Linked DNA regions of Caenorhabditis elegans. The protein of the gene in region 3 interacts with the protein of the main gene of each other region in a biochemical or structural test. Each region holds a gene or a part of one and is shown on either strand. Other genes may lie near its edges.

Region 1 (4,840 bases), on a different chromosome or scaffold from region 3:
GGAAACAACCGAAAATCAATGTTCGAATGAAACATTTGCAATGAAAAAAAAAAAAAGCGTTCGAGAGAGTGAGAGAGTATGAGTGAGGAATGCAACGACGCTCTATTGACAACAAGTAGAAAACATTTTAGAAATTACCAGGTCGGAAAGAAAGAAATTGTTCAGTGAATACAAAATGAGAAATGGAAAAGGAATAAAATTTGAAAACTAAAAATAAAATCCAAAATTGCGGAAATTCAAACGTGTTGTGTAACTTATAAACCGAATTAAAAAAAAGGCCAGTGCAAATCGAAGGTTCAATTATTTCTAGTAATTAATTATAAAAATGGCATGCATTTTTGCTGAATTAATTCTTTTCGTAGTATGGACAGGTATTCCGGCAATTTTAGATTCAAAAGCGCATAACCGTATTTCAGTTATGTTTATTTCGTGCTCTAAAACGAGCCAAGCTTCAAAAGTGGAGGAGAAAAAGCCGAAAACCTCTTCAATCACTACAAAAACCATCACTTCGGCAGATTTGGCTGACAAAACCGATGTCAGCAAAACTTCCACTCCGTAAGATCCTCGAAAATGTTTTATAAACACGAAATAAGCCATTCAGAGTCAGCACGAACTATTCAACTGTGTCAAAAACGATTTCAATGCAAAAAGAAGTCGAGAAGAACCCCAACAGCGCAGAGGACTTCAATGTTAATCGAAAGAAAACTTCGAAATTTCAAATTTCAAAAGAATCTGTAGCAGTTGAAATGAAACCAGATTTCAAGAAAAATAAAGATGTTGGCGGCAAAAAGGAAAAAGCAAAATCAGCGGAAAAACCGAACAAGAAAGAAATCACTCCGCCACAAACCATCAAGAAAACGTCAATGGAGAAGGCTGGAAAGGAAGAAGATGTGAAGTGTGATGAGGAAGTTTCAAGAAATAATATGGAAAGATCTGATCGAACTCTTCATTTTTCGAAGAAAATGATTCGTGGCCCCGTGAAGCCTGAAGAACAGATGGAAGTCGAACCAACTCCGTTATCTTGGAAAGGAGGACCATGAAACTTGATTGAATAAATTTTATTATGAAAAAAGTGAAAATATGCAATTAAATAACACAAAAAAACGCATAAGATTCAAAGAAAACAAAAAATTTCGAAAGAAAAATCAATTCGAAAAGTTTCGCGTACATTGCATGTCAATTGACGCAAAAGTGCACACATTATTTGTTACCGTACCTTTGTTGTTCTCATTTTTTGAAAGTCACCGCTTCGATCCTCACCATGAGCATAATCGGATTTTCCGTATATTTAATGTTTATAAACAATTTTTAAATAATATATTTAATTTTATGTAATTAAATTTGCGTTTTCCGTTGTAAATAGTGCGAGATACGGTACGCGAAAAAAGTACGCAAGTGCACACATTATCTTTTACCGTACCTTTGATCTTCACAGATTTGCTCTACGATTTTGGAAGAGCGCGAAATTTTGTATTTTTCCGCTCAGCGAAATTGTTTTCTGGTATGCGCATCCGAAATTTTTCTTTCTTTTTTCTCCTAGAAAATCGGTTTTTGTTCGTTTAGGTGCTTTAATAGTGTTTTTCGCAGTTATTTTATGGAATCGCCCGCATACTCGACTAATTTCCATTTCGTTTCCTCCTAAAATCTTTTTTTCTGTCTCTTCTGCTCTTAAATAATTATTAGCTTAAGCTCATTAATTTTCCAGGTATGGCGTTGAACAGCGAAGTGATGTTCCGCGAGCAAATCAACGCGATGCGCTCACAAGCTGGCCGGAAGCGTGCGACGTCGCTTCAAAGCTTCTGCTCCGGAAACACCGACGACTCCTCGGCGGATAGCACCGATAACATGGATATGATGGTGGATTATCCTCAACAAAAGGGAGTGAGCTGCATGAGAGCCAGATTCAACAGCGAAAGCACGCTCAGCAAGAGTTTCCGGAAGAAAGTGAAGAAGCTCGCTCAGAAGGACAGGTATTTTGAGATTCTTAAGTATTAGAAAATTAATATTCTATGTTGCAGAAGATCCAAGGAGCGTCTGAACGGAAACTCGGAAGAGGATGCGATTGAAGTCCCACGTGGTGCTCCGTCTACTTATGCAGCTCCATCGAAATTGCGGAAATCCAAAGCTCTCGACTGTCTTGTCTCCGAGAAACCAAAGGACGAAGGAAGACGCGAGGATTCCGGGCATGGAGCCGACATTGAGATGGCAAAGGGACACTTCAACAATGTTCGGATGAAAGTGTTTGCCGCCCGAACTGCGATGCAAGTGGAGCCGGCGTTGGTCATGAAGACTCGGAAAGCATTGGAGATGAAGAATGCTGTCCTAGAAAATCATCAATCGCCAGGAGCTTTCTCTCTTCATGCAGCCTACAAAATTGCAGCTTCTGCAGAATCCCGTGTTGGATCGATTACTCCATGCAATAAGAAGGTGACAAAGGAAGCAATGGCTAATTTGATTCGTTCAAGTTATGATGACACCGAGATCACTCAAGAGCTGCTTTTCTCTTCAAAGTTCGACACGAAATGGAAGGGTCGATACACAGACATCTACATGCGTCGGGATGAGAATGGAAAGAAGCCAAAGCGTCCAGTGAACGGTCAAGGATGGGTGATGCCGTTGAAAAGCATCTGTGAGAAGTTCGGAATCAACTCAACTTTCTTCACAAATCATCGCATCGATCTGAAATCCGCAAGAGATCAGGTGCTTCTGATGCGCCTTCTTTCACATGATCAAACCAGCACATGGATTTCGGATATTCATCCAGAAGCCGTCAAGAATGAGACAATGGCTGAATACCTACTTCGTGAACTCGACGCTTCTACGATGCAAAAGCGAGTTCAAGCTTTCAAGGCAAATGTTCTTGCTGACAGAGACCGAGTTCGTGTTGCTGGACAGTGTAAGAAAATAAATTATTATTTTCCTTAATTAATTAACTTTTTTTCAGTCTACAACAACATTCGAATCGGAAAGCGGATGTTTGGAGCAGCGAGAAAAGCGAAGTATCTGTCAACCATCATCGGAGGAATGGAGCGACGCTTTGAAATCCTCGAGAACTCGGTCAACCACATCCCATTCACTCACTCAGCTTCAGACAACAACCAGGAAAAGTGCCGTAATCCACGTGTTCACTGCAAGGATTCCACTCGAATCGCTCTCCAATTCCCACGCGGTCAGTATCTCGGAGATTTCATTCACGCAAATCGGATTTCTGGAAAGCCGCTGTTCAATGAGTTCATCATGACTCAAGCTCCAATGAAGAACACCGTTGATGATTTTTGGAGAATGGTTTGGCAGGAGGAAGTTCCATACATTGTGATGCTAACCAGCAGAAAGGAACCGGAAAGATGTGAATATTACTGGCCAAAATCTCCGTCGGATCCCGCCGTTACTGTTCCTGGTGGACTTCGAATCGAGAACTTTGGTGTCTATCAAGCTCCAGACCCATTGTTCCGTGTCACTCATCTTCGTCTCATTGGACCGGATCGCGAGGAACGTCACGTGGAACATTGGCAAGGAGACGTGAACAATTCATCGAATATGTACTCTCCATTAAATATTCTTCGTTTACTTCGCAACGCGTCGAAGCCAGTCGTTATCCATGATCATTTGGGAGTTTCTAGAGCGGCTTGTCTTGTTGCTGCCGAGATTGCCATTTGCAGTTTGCTCCGAGGGCCAACTTACAAGGTTTGTATCAGAATTTAGTGACTTTTTAAGTTGGAAATGGTGAAATCAATTCAATTAAACACATTTTCAGTACCCAGTACAACGAGCTGTCCAATTTCTTCGTCAGCGCCGTCCATTCAGCATCGAGACTCCCATGCAGTACATCTTTGTGCATCGTCTTGTTGCATTCTTCTTCCGTGACGTCATTGGAAGTGCAAAGGAGTTGGATGTCGATTATGAAAGATGGCTCCAAGAACGATCCGAACGCATGTTCCTTGATGATCTTGCTGCTCCAATTCCTGGCTATCGTTTGCTGTCTCCAAGAGCAGATCCAGACATTGTTCGAATGGTTGGAAGACCGGAACGACCAAACTACAGACGGTATGTTTTATTTTACATATTTAAAAAATTATTCGAATTGAATTAATTCTCTTTCTAAAAATGTTTTATTTTTCAGTGAGGCACCCGATTGCGTTGGAGAGATGCCAAACAAGGTGGCGACTGTCGACGGGATCCTTTCACCAGCGAAGAGCGTCTTCGAATTCTAATTATCATGTATACTAAACCTCCACTCACTATTATTATTTTTATTTAGAACATTCTGTGAAATATTGCATGATACTGTATAAAATGCATTTTAACTGTCAACTAATGTTTACGAATTCAACACCGAAATTAAAAATGGATTTTTTGTTTTGTTAAATTAGGAATTGAATTTACAGATTGGAAGATCTTTTGGGTATATGGTTCTTGACTGTCGAAGTGGATATGAAAGAGACCCGGCGAATCGGGGGGATTGCTGGCGGCGGGGGATCCGGATCGGGGGGATTGCCACGCCCATAGAACCGTGCGGAAATTCAAATTTCCTCCGCACAGTTAATTTTTTTCTAAGTCTTTCAATCCCTAACATCTCTCAACTTTTGTTTTTTGAAACCGTGCGGAAGTTGCGAAATTTGAATTACCGCACGGCTATATGGGCGTGGCCAATCCCCCCGATTGGGGTCCCCCGCCGCCGGCAATCCCCCCGATTCGTCGGGTCTATGAAGCTCATGTCGCGTGCCTACAGACCCAGTTAGAACATGTTTTAACAGTCAACTACGGTTTAAGAATTCAAAACTTAATTGGTTATACCAGCTTAAAAAGAAACAGAACAGAATCGTCGAGGACAAGAAATAGA
Region 2 (4,185 bases), on a different chromosome or scaffold from region 3:
AAATGCAGTTTACCAGTTACGTTTGGCGGGGGTAAAACCATACGAAATAGACTGCCTGAAAAATATTTTTTTGCCTAGAACTATTATCAAGGAAATCTGACCATTCTTTCGATAATTTGCAGCGGCAAACTCTGTTCTTTGTTCAAAATTTTGTGTTACCTCGTCGATGTTAAAGGAGCTGAAAAAATTAGTTATTTTATTTTCTTAGTTTATCGTTTACCTACTACTTTCACGTGTAATAATTGTCGGTGAGTAAGCACATTGCCTTCTTGAACGATGAAAAAGTGCTAATCGATTCAATTTACCCATTTATTTCACCTGAAACCACAAACAATAATTTAAAAGAAAGAATGCGCTCAATCTGTTGAAAAATTAACGCTCGTCTGGACGAAGCAAATGCGCCCTGTCGCGAAACTAATTGGAGGGAAGATTAAAAAATATTTTTTTGTCAAACGAAACATTTCAGAAATTATTTTGCAATTCTATAATTGAAAATCAGATATCTTCGTGAAAAAACGTTATTTCCAGATGGTCTTCAAAAACATTGATTGACATTCGATAAAGTTTATTGATTGTTAGTGTGGGGAGAGGATACGAGCAATTTATATTTGGAGGGAATTGAAAATACATGCAATGATATCCGATATAATAAAATGCAGCAAAATAATTCAAGTTTAGTTTCAGAGCCTGCGAGAGATGGGGGGAGCGAGCGTGCTTTCTATATGACAGGAACATTGAGCTTATTATATTTACAAATTGCGCGCGTTATTATAGTTAGTATGGGACATAAAAACGTATGGCAATTTGACAAAATGTATAAATAGATGGGGAAGGAGGTGGTTATTCACCACAATTCAAGGTGCTTGGCAATGTCCATGGCAAGTTGATCAAGTCCAGGAATTGGAAGAGTTGTCTCGTTTCCAATCATCGGATTGTTGATAGACTTCAGAAGAATAGACTGAGCAGACTCCGAGTTGGCTTGGCAGGCAGCATCTGCAGCAGCAGAAGCAGCTGTGAGTGGAGACGAATCACTATCTTGAGACGGAGTTGATCCAGAGGAAGAATATCCCGAAACTCCTCCCGGTGTTGATTGTTTTCCAAGCATAGAGTATTGCATGTTCCCGGCTGCTCCAATAAGCATAGACTCAAACGGACTGATTGGACGAGTTGCCATATTCAGACTATCCAATGCGAAGAAAGTTGATGGATCCAACGGCCAGCTTGATGGTGGGCGATTCCCGGCTTCTGTAAAATTATTTTGAATTAATCATCAATATTCAATTTTCATACCCTCAGTCTCAAGTGGCTTCTTCGATGGCAACTCGTATCGTGGTCCACGAATGCTAACTGGGGTTGGACCCAATGGCATATTTGCTGCTGGCTCATCTGGTGTGCATGGCCTTGCAAACATATCAAATTGTTGAGGGCCGGCTGTAGAACGACCTCCATTCATGATATGATGCTCCATTTGATCGCGAAGGTCGGCCAAAGCATGACGTTGCGAAACCTGTTGAAGATTTGATTAAAGTGGAAAATTAAAAAGTTATCTTACCTCGAACAATTTATCGGCTCGAATGTATGCATTTGGTCCATTGTCCGGATGAATGAAAAGACAGCGTTTTCCATATGGGCACAACCCAGTAGTAGTGTACTTATCGCAGAGCTTCGTCCGGTACTTATTGTTTTGACGTGCCTCGATCCTGTAAAATATGTTGTGTAATCTTAATTCAATGTTCAAACCAACAGAGATGGACGAAGCTCCTCTTCGCCGTGAGCAAAACGACAGTTCTCCGCGAAAGCACATGTCTTCGACTCCAACCAAGCCTGACATATGACAGTCTTGTACGATTCCGGTTTTTGCATTCGGTGACGGCGTCTTGGATCAGCATGATATTGCAGTGGGAGAATAGCTTCCTGTGGAAGATTTTGAAGAGCTCTCATTTGCATCGAATGAATATGCTCGTTTCTGAGAAGATAAAATTTAAGAAACAGTCCATTTATCCTATAGAATTACTCAGCAATCTCCTTGAGAAGCTGCTCCTTGACAGCCATCAGGTTAGCGGTCTCGGAAAGCAAATCGTCGATATGAGAAATCGGTTTTTGCTGTTCTTCCGGAACAGTCTCCATCATATCGGGATGCGATGGTTCAACACTCGACTCTGTACGAGCCCTTAAAAAAGAAAATTAAAATTGAGAAACTATGATAAAAGTGGCTCACTCATTATTCTGGATAACATTTTCCTTGAGCATATCCATTATTTCGTTAGTAGTGCAGGGGAAATGGGTGGTTAGTGATTAGGCGTGGGGTGCTCGGTTAATTGATTCCCTGAAATTTAAAGAAATTTTAAAAATGGTAAGATTCCGCGAGCAATGAATAACAACCGTCTAAAGAATGAAAGAAATAAGTTTTTAACGAGAAAAAACGAATGCGCCAAAACGGTATAAAATTATTGTTTTAAGCGACGTAATTCAGAAATAAGCTCTTTTAAAATTCAAATAAACGGGCCAAAATCCTTCTGAATGAAATAAATGAATGAACAGAACCAAATGTTGTTGAACAAAAGAAAACTGAAGAAAACCATCTCTGTCCCAAAATTTCGAAACAAAAAGTCAATGTTTGGCGGCAATGCGCGCTAAATAAGATCAAATAATTATTTTTTAATACTTAAGTTTAGAATTAAGTCTGAAATTTATGGTTGAATCAAAGTCAAAAAACTTGCAAGAAAATGTTGCCAATTTTCACCAATGACTACGGTCACACTCGTTTGAGATGTGCACTCCCCGCTGCTGCGCCTTTAAAGGTTACTGTAACTAATAATTTTTTTTTAGCAAGCATGGAAATTGTGTAATTGTCTGAAAAAGTAACTCATAAACAGCGAATAACTAGATTTTCTCGACTAAAAAATTTTCAACAACACTGTCTGACCAAAATCTAGCTGTAAAAGAACATTACTTTGCAAATATACTTGCTGGAAGGTATTCGAATTTTTATTCAATATTTACATGTATATTTGATTTATTGTAAGTTCATTGTATTCCTATTAAAATCACTTGTGCATTCCATAATTTGACGCCTGGGAATAAACATTTTGGTCGAAAACTAGCGGTGTTCCATTGGACTCAACAACATCCATCAACTTTGACTTTTTTGCTTTTTCCAAGAAGAAACTGTTTGTTGTGTCGATGAACTTGCATGGACGCATTCCATTTCTAAAATATTATCATTTTTCCACAGTCCTTTGTCAAAAAATCACTCACTCAATAGCCATTTTAGCAGCTCCAATCTCCAACTTCTCTCCAAGATTTTTACCACGATGCCCCTAAAAACAGATTTGAAAATATTCAATTTGAAAATAGTAAAACTCACATCAAAGACATGCAAATGAGCAAGTGCTCCGTGAGTTTCTGAAGAAATGAATCCAACAAGTTCGTCGCCTTTACGAACGCAGAGCGATGGGAACCGTCGAAGTTTTTCTCTGAAAAAAATTCCTATTTTTCCATGTAACTGTTGTTTTACGATTTCTCGATTTTGTGAGAAAATGATATAAATCTAGTACTGTTGGTTTTTAATTTCCTGATCCAAAAACTCACTCTACTAATTTTGCATTTGGTGTGATAGATGATCCTACAATCTTCATAACATCATTTGTTGATTCAGGTATATCAATTGAGTATCCATCAGGTAATGTTGTATCACCATAATTTCTATATTTGAAAATTTGACTTTCATTCATTGCAAAAAAGTGTGTTGATTTGTTTTGCACCTCTGCATTAATATTGTTTTTCTTCATGTACTTTTCAATCTAAAATCAAACGTTTCTTATCTATTAACCTTTGTTCTGTTTTCATTGTGTATTACCGCTTTAGTGTAACATTTCTCGGCTACAGTTGATGGAGCATTGGAGCCAGCAAACAATCCATTTGTTTTACAGAATTCATCAAAAACCGCCAGAAAGTCTTCTTCTCGAAACTTTCCATCGTGTGTCAGAATTTGACGGTCTCTGAAAAGGTGCGAAGGTCAATTTCGAATTGAAAAAAAGAGATAGCAAAAGGTGGGAAAAGGTCTTTAGTGATACTGAAAAATGTTTTTGAAAATGAAGAAAAACTGGTTTAGGAATGGATTGTCATGGAAATGTTTGATCTTATCAAATATTACGGTCGAATCGGAAAAACATGAGTGAAGAT
Region 3 (4,928 bases):
CAGTCATCCATGTGTTAATAAAAAATACGGCCTACATTCCTGCCTTGTTGTACGCTGGGGGTAGGTACGAGTCATTCGTTGGCAGGCAAATATGCCTACTTACCTCGGACCAACTCAATTTTGAAAATTGGAGAAAAAATTTTAAACACTTACGTGAAAGGTTAAACCGGTTTAGGCAGGGTAAAACCGGTTTAGGCTTTGTTAGGCTTGTGTTAAGGCTTGGGTTTAGGCTTGTGTTTAGGATTGGATTCAGGCTTGGGTTTAGTTTTTTTGTGCTTGCCTACCACATATTTAGTTAATTTTAGCAGAAGCTCTGGTTTTCATTTAGGCTTGCTTTTGCCAAGCAAATATGCCAATTTTCCTCGAGTCTACATACTATGCTAATTGGAAAATTTTTCAAAAAGTAACTTTGCGTGAAACCCAAAATAAACTTACACGGTCATCCACGTGGTATGAAATAAAAATAAATTGCCTTTGTTCAATTATTTTATTACTTTCAATTCTTCTCACTTTTTGCACATTTCGTTAACCGTCTCACAATCAGGAATCCAATGCCAGATAAGTTATTTGTACACAATTAAGCTTCAATAAGAGAGAATTCTCAGGTTTAATCTTAGGCTAGGGTTTAGGTTGCTATAGGATTTTAGATTTGCTATGGGCTTAAGCTTTTGTTTATGATTGGTGTTAGGCTAAGGTTCAAGATAGGGTTGGATTTAGGCTTGAGGCTTGGGGTTAGGCTTGGGTTTAAGTTTGGGTTTAGGCTTGGGTTTAAGCTTGGGTTTAGGCTTGGGTTTAGGCTTGGGTTTAGGCTTGGGTTTAGGCTTGGGTTTAGGTTCAGGTTTAGGCTCAGGTTTAGGCTCAGGTTTAGCCTCAGGTTTAGGCTTGGGCTTAACTTTGAGTTTAGACTTGGGTTTAAGTTTGAGTTTAGGCTTGGGTTTGGGCTTGGGTTTAGGCTTGGGTTTAGGCTTGAGCTTATCCATTCTTGGTCCCTATCCTCTATGCCTTCCCTAACTTCTATTTTTTAAATTTCAGCCTGTTTATTTCTAGACTCCCCTTTTTAATATTTCCTGCCGCTGATCATATGATATCCATATTTTTGCATTTTATATCAGACATCAAAAACTATTAGCATTAAGTTTTCATAAGGCATGCTTTGAAAACATTTGGAATGCGCAAAGATTATGGGAAGAAAGTTTTGGAAAAGTTCAGAAATTTCCCTTACAAGGGGAAGTTGAAAAAAAACCATTTTGGTCGGTGCCAGCTGATGCTCCTCTCGTGACTCTTGATAAGCCAATTGTTAGTCGTAAAAATGGGGAGAAGAACTTTAAAAGTGCGTAAATATCTAGTTATCTCGTTTTCTTATCACTGTTGTCATTGTGCATCTAACGTATTTCGGTTCACTAATAATAAGTTTCACGCTATTTTGTTTTTATATTATATTGTATTTTCAAAGCAAGTTCACTAAAAAGTTTTGCTCCATGCGTTCCAAGCATCCACTGCCTGCCTATCAATTTATCATCGTTCTCCACCCCGTTAGGTGTACCATTCAAAAAACGTTTGTTGCTCCGTACTCTATGTCTCCAATTCCCATATGCTCTTCCACAAACCCGCAACACAACACAAGTTTCTGCAAAAAAAAAATTTGGTGGATTCCTCCTAGAGAGTAAAAGAGAAACAGGGGGAGAAAAACGGACTCTTCCAACATCATTTGCCCCTTTTTCTTATCTGCTCCAACTTGTCCCCACGTTCGGTGAGGTGTTTCTCCCATTGATAACAAAATGTATTTGATCCGATTACCCTCTACTCGTCGTCAACTCTCTTATTACCCCCTACCACAAATTGTATTAAAAAGTACAAAAAATTTTTAGGAATTCTCTCCCAAACTTGCAGCAGTCTAGAGTAGTTGAAGCATGGCTGCTCTTGCCTCGTTCACACGTAACAGTCGAAGTTACGGGCAACAACCGATTGATGTTACACAACAGGTGGGTGTGCTATACCTCTATTAGTAGTGCATGTAATTATAGTTTCAAATTGAAATGGAGTTTGAAAATTTTTAAATTTCTCCTCTGAAAAAGTAAAGATATTGACTTTTTTCTGAACTTTTGTGTGATTTCTTAAATGTTCATTTTTGATATTACTAGTTATTATAGTTCTACTAGGATTATAAAATTCTAAACAAATTGCTCCTAAAATTCAAAAAAAATCATTTCAGGGTCAGCGAGATCGCAGTGTAATGAGTCTGGATGCACAAGGAAGATCAGTTTCACAGTGAGCTTTTGATTCTTTTTCTCTTCAAATTTTTTCTTCAATTTTCCCACTAAACGTATGTAGTTTAAAATATTGCAATTTCGAATTACTTTGAAGTTCTTAAGGAAATTTCTAGAAATATTCAAAAGTCGTGCCTGCAGCAGACGGTCATTTATTTTCCTTGAAAGCCCCCCCCCATTGACCACCATATGGATCCCATTAAACTTTACACCCTGTGGGGTCCTTGAGAAAACTTTTTGATGTTTTTTGTCCATTTATGCTTAACCTGATTAGTTGAAAAGCTGGTGTAAAGGGCCTAATTAGTTGGAAATTGGAACATGTTTTGAAAATCACAATGTATTATTGTAATAGAAATCTAAAGGCGGAACAAGGAAAAAAATCAATGAAAATTGAGATCGAGAACCCTTCTCATTCAATGAAGAGGTGTTTTCTTTTCAATAAAAAGGAGGAGTGGGGGGAGTATTTGTCATCAAGAGTACCCAAGAATGGTATACCAGCGATTTCACAATTAGATTCACAGTCAATCATTTCTTTTTTGATTCAGACCTGTTTGATTTTGCAATTTTAATCAGGATTCAATACATTTTTGTTAAAAATTTTGTTTTTCTCCCACTTTAATAGTTTCAAAACATTCATTTTCTGAAAACAGCTGTTTTAGAATACCTTGAAGCTTACATACTCTAAAACAAAACAGTTAGACCTAAGCTAACGTAGTTTATTGGCATTGGCGTTTGAGTAAGGCGGCCCCGTTGTCTAGTCACAATAGAAAGGGAGTAATGTAAATTGTTAAATTGTTGGTAGGTATATCCTTATGCCTGCCTGCCTGCCTACTGTTTGCTGATTTCCTTTATTTTAAGTTGAACTCTGGCCTTTAGTGTTCACCTCATGTAAGTTTACGCATATTTTATAGTAGACGTAGAGGTCGGTATTTTTTTGGTTAAAAAAAATTTTAAAAAAATCAAATCACTTCCTCAGCCACTTGCAATTTTAAGCGACTTTTCAGTAGAAACTTATGCTTCAATTGAACAATTTTTCAAATCCTATCTCTCGTCGATTTCTCACAATTTTGAATGTAACAACATTTTAAACGAGACACACAAAGTGTAAAAATGCTCAAAGAGTCAATCAGTGTTCCCTTGGCCTTTTTCTCCCTTTACCCTCTCTTCGAAGAAAAATGATAGGAAAATATCCGGGAAGGGAGAATTTAGTTGCACGTCATGATGTTCTCATCAGAAGTTTTTTCCTCCACTTTTTGAAAATGGAACTTTAATGACTCCTTTTGTGCTTGCCCCCTTAACCCTATCCAATTTCAAGACGTTTTCTGATTGTTCTTCGAAGTACGATTTCAATGTGTGTGAGAAGAGGAAAAATGAGATAGATTGTACTTGAAAGTAGACAATTTACAGAAAACGAACATTTTATGGTTTCTTGAAAACAGGTTGATTTTAGAGATTTTTAAGTGTCAAGAGATTTGTTCACTTGAACGAAATAATTATGGAACTTTTTGATCTTGTTAGATTTAGTTAAAAGAAAAATTCGCAAGCCTAAGAGCAAATGTGCAAAAATTTTATTTTGTTCGTTGTGATACAAATGTTGCAGAAAACTATTTTTCCTGAATTTCCATACATCAAGAAATTGACCAAGAAAGGGTTTTTCTACAAATTTTCAGTTTTAATTTTTTTAAACATTGTGAAGGTTCTGTTTGAAAAATTCAAAGTTTGCAAAAAATTTTGCCAATTCGCCAAACCTTGTGCTGAAGTTTTCAGAAAACTACGATATTTTTTTCCAAAAAAAAGCGTTCCTCACAAAAGTACCGTATCAAATGTTGGTCATCAAAAATCCGCACCGAATCTTTCCGATCTTTGTCTCTCTGTATCACTTGTGTTAGTCTTCAGTCCCGCTTTCCCCACCCTCCCCCAGATAAGGTTCTCGCGTTCCCCTATCTATCCCCACACACACACATTTTTATTTTAATTACAAGTACTAATTCGGTAGTGTTTTCTGTTTTCTTTACCTGTATGGTGGAGACTAGGAGGACCTTGCGGTCGGGAAAATGAGGCATCGTAATCAAACCAACCGAGGCAACACACACGCCGGGCCATGATGGAAACAACTCGTAAAAAACCCGTCTTTTCTATTCTTCATCGTTCTTCGCCTCTCTCACAGGGATTCCCTTTTTCATTAGTCGTTAGGAGAGGCTTTCCATACCTTTTATGATTGTATACAGTGATCTACAGATTCTTGAGATGTATGTACAATTTTTTTTTGTTTTTGATCTACCTGGTCAACTCGCAACGATCCTCCGCTAGCTGGCTTTGTGTGTTGTTTAGCACTTTCTGTAGTTTTAGAAATTACTTCCTATTGTGAATGACCAAATTTCCAGTTTTTCAGTAAAAATAAATACTTGTCCTATTTATTGCCAAAATGGTTGGAGCTGTAAAAACATACAGTTTTTGCAATTTTTTTTTTGGCTTTTCTCCGAGATGTCACAGTTTGCAATTTTTAAACTACGGTTTTATAATAGTTGTAAATCAAAAAGTTTACTGTAATTTTTTTTAATTCTCAGTTTTAATTATTAGTTTTTGACTTACTAACAAATTTCGGAGAAATTTTTTTTGATCCGAAACGATCTAACTTTTTCAAATTAAAATTTTTAATAT
Region 4 (5,224 bases), on a different chromosome or scaffold from region 3:
TCTGAAGTCTCTATAGCAATCACTTTGCTTGAAAATAAATCACTAGGATTTCGGAATGGTGGTAGATCAACATGGAAAACACGGTTGTCGATAAGAAGTTTGTAGATTTTTCGATTAATTTTTTTTAAATCTACATCTGGTTTCACCAGAATTTTTTGATAGTTCTATTCTGAAAACAATAGACATTTAGATAATTAAAACCTACTTCAACTCACACTTCAGTCAACTTCAATTGATGTATAATATTCCGAAATGCAGGATACGGTAAACCAAGTAGGTGAAAGGGTTGAATCTAAAAAATCAATAAAATTAAACGAAAAACTGTAAAATACATATGTTCTTGCCTTGTTTGACGGGGTCCTGATACCTCGACGTTTAAAAAATCTCAGACAAATAAATGAGGAGAGTTGTGAAATAAAGGAGCTCATACCAAATGGTAACTCAAATATGTAATCGAAAAAAAAAAACACTGAGCAGACTAACGGAGCAGGCGAGCGTCTAAATGGTATAATCGATACATAGAAAGTGGTTATAAATCCTCCAAGTGTGTGACATCATACATTGTGCACAATGTAGCAGTAGCTATAGTAGCAGGAAATTAGTAACATTAGATCTATCCTGTTTGAAAGCATCAATGTCGATGAGTTGTTTTTTAAATTAAAAAACCATCGAGAATAATTTGAAAAATAAAATATGAATAATCTGAAGTCCCAAGGAATACCAAATTTCTACTTGAAGATTCTCAGTTTTTGTAACTTTTTAGAAGTCTTCGATCAAAAAAAATCCTTTGAATAGACATTTTTTCATATTTTTATGAATTAATAATGTTAAGAATCCTTATTAGTTTGGGATATCCAAACATTTTTTAAAATTTATGTTAAAAAACAAAAGATTTCAATGTTCTATATAAAGCAGTTTTTATTACTTTCCAGGTACTTAGTATTCCTATATTAAAATAATTTTAAAAAATTTCAAAACTCTGCACAAATCCGTTTTTGGAGCTATTTTAACGACCCTTTACATCTCGTTTTCAGGAATTCAGGATTATGTTCCGCCGTTTCTTTTAAAAAGTTTGAGATAAAAAATTATTTTAGTTTTGATTTTTCGCTTACAGGTTTTCTAATTAACATCTCCTTTACTGCCTATTATCCTGTTTCTTTTTATAAATTTATTCTTCTCATTTATTATTCAGTGATTATCCAATATTTTAGAGAATTAACTATCAATCCAATTGTTCCTCAAAACTCCATAGTCTTGGATAGTCTTGAAAACTGATCGATACCATGCAAACGGTGTGTGTTGTTTTGTTGATTCCCTGCCGCATTTGAACTATTTTTTCACCGCGCGCACGCATCGCCCCTGTCCGTCTCGCCACACACTATTTCCGCGCGCTCTTTCTCTACCTCTCACACTCTCTCAATCTCCCTAACTCAAGTGTTCATTCTTGTTGCGTGGTCCCACCGGTTTGCATTTTTTCATCTCTGTCTTTCTTTTTCGTTGTATTTTTTTAAATTTCATTTATTTCAATATTTCATTAAGTTTTGATTTTTGCAGGTATGAGTTCCTCAAAACCTTACCCAAGCGGTCTGCCAAACTCGAGAAGAAAAAGAGGAGGTGAGAGTTTTTTGCATCAATTTTTCATTCAATTTGTAAATTCAGGTCGCCGCTCAAGTAGTCGTAGCAATCAGGAAAGTGCATCCAACAACATGGAACACCAAATCACTCTTGACGAATTGTTCAATCCGATCGCAAAACAAGACAGTGCTCAGTCAACAAGCCGTGAATATGGTGCAAAATCGGGGATATCTCATCACGGATCCGTATCATTCAACGGGAATACATTCATGAATGGCCAACAGCTGAATCACTCGATGACTCGACATGGTCGAGTATTCAATCAGTCGATGCATGCAGCTCAAGGAAACGGCAGCAACGCCTTTAACAGTATTCCTCCTACGGCCCCCGTCTTCTCTGCAGACTTCCGCCGCAACTTGCAAACACGCAATAGCTCCAGCTGGTATGAACGAAGATTCCCAGTATCCACAGATCAGGACGACGTTCAGCAATCAAACACAAGACGTAGTAGAAGTCGTCAGAATGGACAACATGGCCTAAGCTTCTCGGATGGTTCGAACAATTATGGTCACGCTGGGAATAAGTCATTCAGTGTGAGTTCCGTTCCCGTTGGGTTCCAGAAGCAAGAAAATAATTCTAAGAAACTGCGACAAACCAATGTTCACCAGCAATGTCTTGGAAATAAAAGCTTCAACGCTCAAGCTGGAGTTCATGGACACGCTTTTAAAAAAGGCCATAAGGACAATAAAAATGCATCTGGAAAGGAGGTTATCAATTCTAGTCTTGTCCAAAAGCACGATGCTATTAAGTCGCGGAATTTGAACCAGAGCTTCTCTGGATTTCCTACACATGAAACCTCATCGATGAAAAATCAACAACAGAAATCAAGAAACGACAGAAAAAAATCACGTGGTAGCAGCAACTTCCAGGATCGTACTTACTTCAACACAAATGACGATGAATTAACTGACGATGTGTTCATAGACGATTCCATGGATGCTGCCCGTGGTCGGAGATCTCGATCAGTCACTAAGAAACTTCAACAATCGACTTATTCAAAGCAGAATGCAGGCAGTAAACAATTGACTGAAAAATGCAAATCTTCTGAAGAAGCGGCTAAACGTAACCTGGTATCCAATGTATTCAGCAAGGACGGCACTGAACTCTCCATTGAACAGTTATTGGAAATTGTCAGCATGAAGATCGGACAACAGATTCACTTGCCTTCCAGCTCTCATGGAGAATGCAGCAATTTGAATCGGACATTACCAGCAAGTGATCTAAATTGCTCAATTGGTGAAGACTTTGACTCCAGTTTTGTGGATGCTAACAACCAAACCCTACCAGTGAGTCTTCCCAAGAAAACTTCACTGTCGATCAAGCGCCGTGGAAGTTCTCGTAGTGCCTCCCGTCTGGCCAGTCTTGATGTGACACTGGAAACTGTTGAAGAAGACGAGGAACCCACGCCAAGTCCACAGCCGAGTTCTCCTCCAAAGATCTCAAGAAGAAAGTGGACAGGAACTTTTGATGCCAACGTTGAGGAAATGAGACGTTTACTTCATGGGGACCCTGAGATGCCGAAATCTGCAAATCGTGCTTCCTCAAGGTATGTAGTGAAATAGTAAAATCTTTAGTAAAAATTTAAATTTCAGCAAGGATCAGATCAATCGGAACAATGTGGATGTAAAGAGAACACCTTCCTCGTCAATCATCCCAACTCCAAAGGCTTTGATCGGAGAAAGATGTCTGACATCATCCAGCAAGTTAGTTTTACACTTGGAGCTTCTTATTTCATTATATTTTTTACAGGTCTTCAAAGTTGAACAAGTCACTTGGCGTGGTTGATTCTAAAGCTACAAAATCACCAATGTATTCCGTCACAGTTTCTGGAAAAGAAACAGCTTCAGGAAAGCGAATTGCTCAAAAGTTGACTCCAAAGGTTGTGGCGCTGGAAAGGTATGACTTTACAAAAAACGAACAACATTTCCATATTTTCTTTTCCAGCTCTTACATTACCGGAATTCCAGTTTCCACGGATTGTAATGGTTGCCCAACTCCGAAGAGAAGTGGAATCAATTGTGAAATTCGTGCAGCTGAAGTATACAATCAAGCTGGGAAATGGCCCTTCGAAATCACCAGGTAAGGTCCAAGTTAATAAATCCGCTATCGATCAAGCATATGGAAAATAATGTACAAGCTGAAAAGATTGAGCTCAAAACTTGATTCAAATCCTGTAAAATTATTTTCTGAGTACAGTAAATTTCTTTCAGTGATCCGGCTCCACTTCCTTGTGAATCAGCCGATCGGATCGAATATCCTTCTCAAGATTGCACTCAAGATCCAGCTTCAACCTCGCCACCACCTCGCATTTCTGAAAGCTTGACAGCATTCCTGGAAGCTCAGCAAGACTTTAACGACTACATTGATACTAACTACAAAGAAAAGACACAACTCCTGAAAGTGAATTTGAATATTCACGGGATGTCACCTGAAAGATGGCTGTACTTGAATTATTTTTGCACCGAGACAATTCCAAGATTGGATGGTCCTTATGCCGATGGTAAGAAAGATAAGACATATTTAATCTTGAAAACTTTAATTTTTTCAGATCCAAGAGTTCCACCTGTGCGAAATATGTTCAGAAAATGGTTCCTCCGTTTTGCTGAAGCCTGCTTAGGAAATCCTCACCAGCTTGCAGTTATGCAAGAGATTGCTGCCACGTTTGTTCAGGCTCGGCTGGACGATACGAGCAGCTCCACAGACTCCACCAATATGCTCTACATGTTGTGGAAGGAGTGTATCGGACAGAAGAATATCATCGCAATTGCTGATGCGTGTTTACTTGCACATCTTCGGAAATCGGATCCTATCAAATACTTGAATGTAAAACGGGATTGGCTGGAATCTATTTTTGACCCACCCAGAGATCAATGATTGTACCAATTTATATCTATTACTTGTAGACTATATTGTATGTTATTCTTGTTCATTAACCCTTTATCCACTCTTGTTATATTTCAACTCGCTTCTCCTTGTGAATTTGTATTATGTCTACCCAGATACTTGTAGAGGGTAGTATTATATTGTTGTCTGGATGATTGATAAAGAATTGCCGATTCTTTAAGATTTGGAGTGGAACTAGAATAAAAGAAAAGTTCGAAATAGATTTAAGAAAAGATGATTGGTAACTGATTTGAAAATATACATATCTTCTCATAGATCTTTTTTGTGAAATTTAAATACTGTCATTAGGCAAAATAGTAGTCACGGATTCAATTTTAAAACAGATGCTTCAGATTTGTTTGGAAAAGTTCCGTTTTTTAATACAGGGTGGGCCATAATTATGCGCACTACTTTGAAGCTTCATAAAACCAAAACAAAAAACACATTAAACAAATAATCATATAGGTTTTGTTCTCCGAGAAAAACTAAATAAGATACCATTTTTGAATTCGAAAATATCACCGTCCGCATTGCTACAGGCCTTCACAAGTTTCGGAAACGCACCAACGATGGCGGACAAGTAGGCACGCTTCAGGGTTTTTCATGTTTTTCTCGGAGGACTCATTAGTTATCAAGTAAAATTTAAAGTTCAAAGAATGCTCTTGATTCAGAGATGCTTCACACAAAAAATCTAAAAGATTGATAT

What was found.
Region 1: of the proteins of mbk-2 (region 3) and egg-4, one has a biochemical effect on the other in vitro, tested with the Caenorhabditis elegans proteins (one study listed by BioGRID).
Region 2: of the proteins of mbk-2 (region 3) and oma-2, one has a biochemical effect on the other in vitro, tested with the Caenorhabditis elegans proteins (one study listed by BioGRID).
Region 4: of the proteins of mbk-2 (region 3) and meg-3, one has a biochemical effect on the other in vitro, tested with the Caenorhabditis elegans proteins (one study listed by BioGRID).

Annotation. Positions count from the first base shown.
Region 1 is NC_003279.8:3,930,505-3,935,344, forward strand, and holds egg-4 (Inactive protein-tyrosine phosphatase egg-4), read left to right. Parts: upstream 1-1,705; 5' UTR 1,706-1,707; coding exon 1,708-1,970; intron 1,971-2,018; coding exon 2,019-2,896; intron 2,897-2,944; coding exon 2,945-3,684; intron 3,685-3,754; coding exon 3,755-4,044; intron 4,045-4,120; coding exon 4,121-4,211; 3' UTR 4,212-4,309; downstream 4,310-4,840. Other genes in the region: T21E3.2 (uncharacterized protein), read left to right, coding at 326-371, 417-555, 602-1,040. UniProt on the Caenorhabditis elegans protein: Inactive phosphatase which acts redundantly with egg-5 in the oocyte-to-zygote transition. Required for the polarization of cortical actin cytoskeleton rearrangement in the oocyte before and after fertilization.
Region 2 is NC_003283.11:8,027,580-8,031,764, reverse strand, and holds oma-2 (CCCH-type zinc finger protein oma-2), read right to left. Parts: upstream 2,327-4,185; 5' UTR 2,257-2,326; coding exon 2,219-2,256; intron 2,171-2,218; coding exon 2,015-2,170; intron 1,967-2,014; coding exon 1,745-1,966; intron 1,701-1,744; coding exon 1,553-1,700; intron 1,508-1,552; coding exon 1,291-1,507; intron 1,246-1,290; coding exon 845-1,245; 3' UTR 551-844; downstream 1-550. Other genes in the region: vars-1 (valine--tRNA ligase), read right to left, coding at 1-55, 102-178, 221-309; F43H9.4 (Glycine N-acyltransferase-like protein), read right to left, coding at 3,048-3,210, 3,259-3,320, 3,368-3,476, 3,592-3,803, 3,860-4,001. UniProt on the Caenorhabditis elegans protein: Zinc-finger RNA-binding protein that binds to 5'-UA[AU]-3' motifs in the 3'-UTR of maternal mRNAs to suppress translation in oocytes and embryos.
Region 3 is NC_003282.8:13,007,248-13,012,175, forward strand, and holds the start of mbk-2 (Dual specificity tyrosine-phosphorylation-regulated kinase mbk-2), read left to right. Parts: upstream 1-1,910; coding exon 1,911-1,982; intron 1,983-2,212; coding exon 2,213-2,268; intron 2,269-2,389; exon of another isoform or gene 2,390-2,410; intron 2,411-4,928. UniProt on the Caenorhabditis elegans protein: Required for oocyte-to-zygote transition in which it phosphorylates oocyte proteins, including mei-1, oma-1, oma-2, mex-5, and mex-6, modifying their activity and/or stability following meiosis.
Region 4 is NC_003284.9:1,985,938-1,991,161, reverse strand, and holds meg-3 (uncharacterized protein), read left to right. Parts: upstream 1-1,554; 5' UTR 1,555-1,556; coding exon 1,557-1,614; intron 1,615-1,659; coding exon 1,660-3,181; intron 3,182-3,227; coding exon 3,228-3,338; intron 3,339-3,384; coding exon 3,385-3,531; intron 3,532-3,579; coding exon 3,580-3,714; intron 3,715-3,845; coding exon 3,846-4,135; intron 4,136-4,183; coding exon 4,184-4,509; 3' UTR 4,510-4,693; downstream 4,694-5,224. Other genes in the region: Y40A1A.2 (F-box domain-containing protein), read right to left, coding at 115-169, 216-292, 345-428.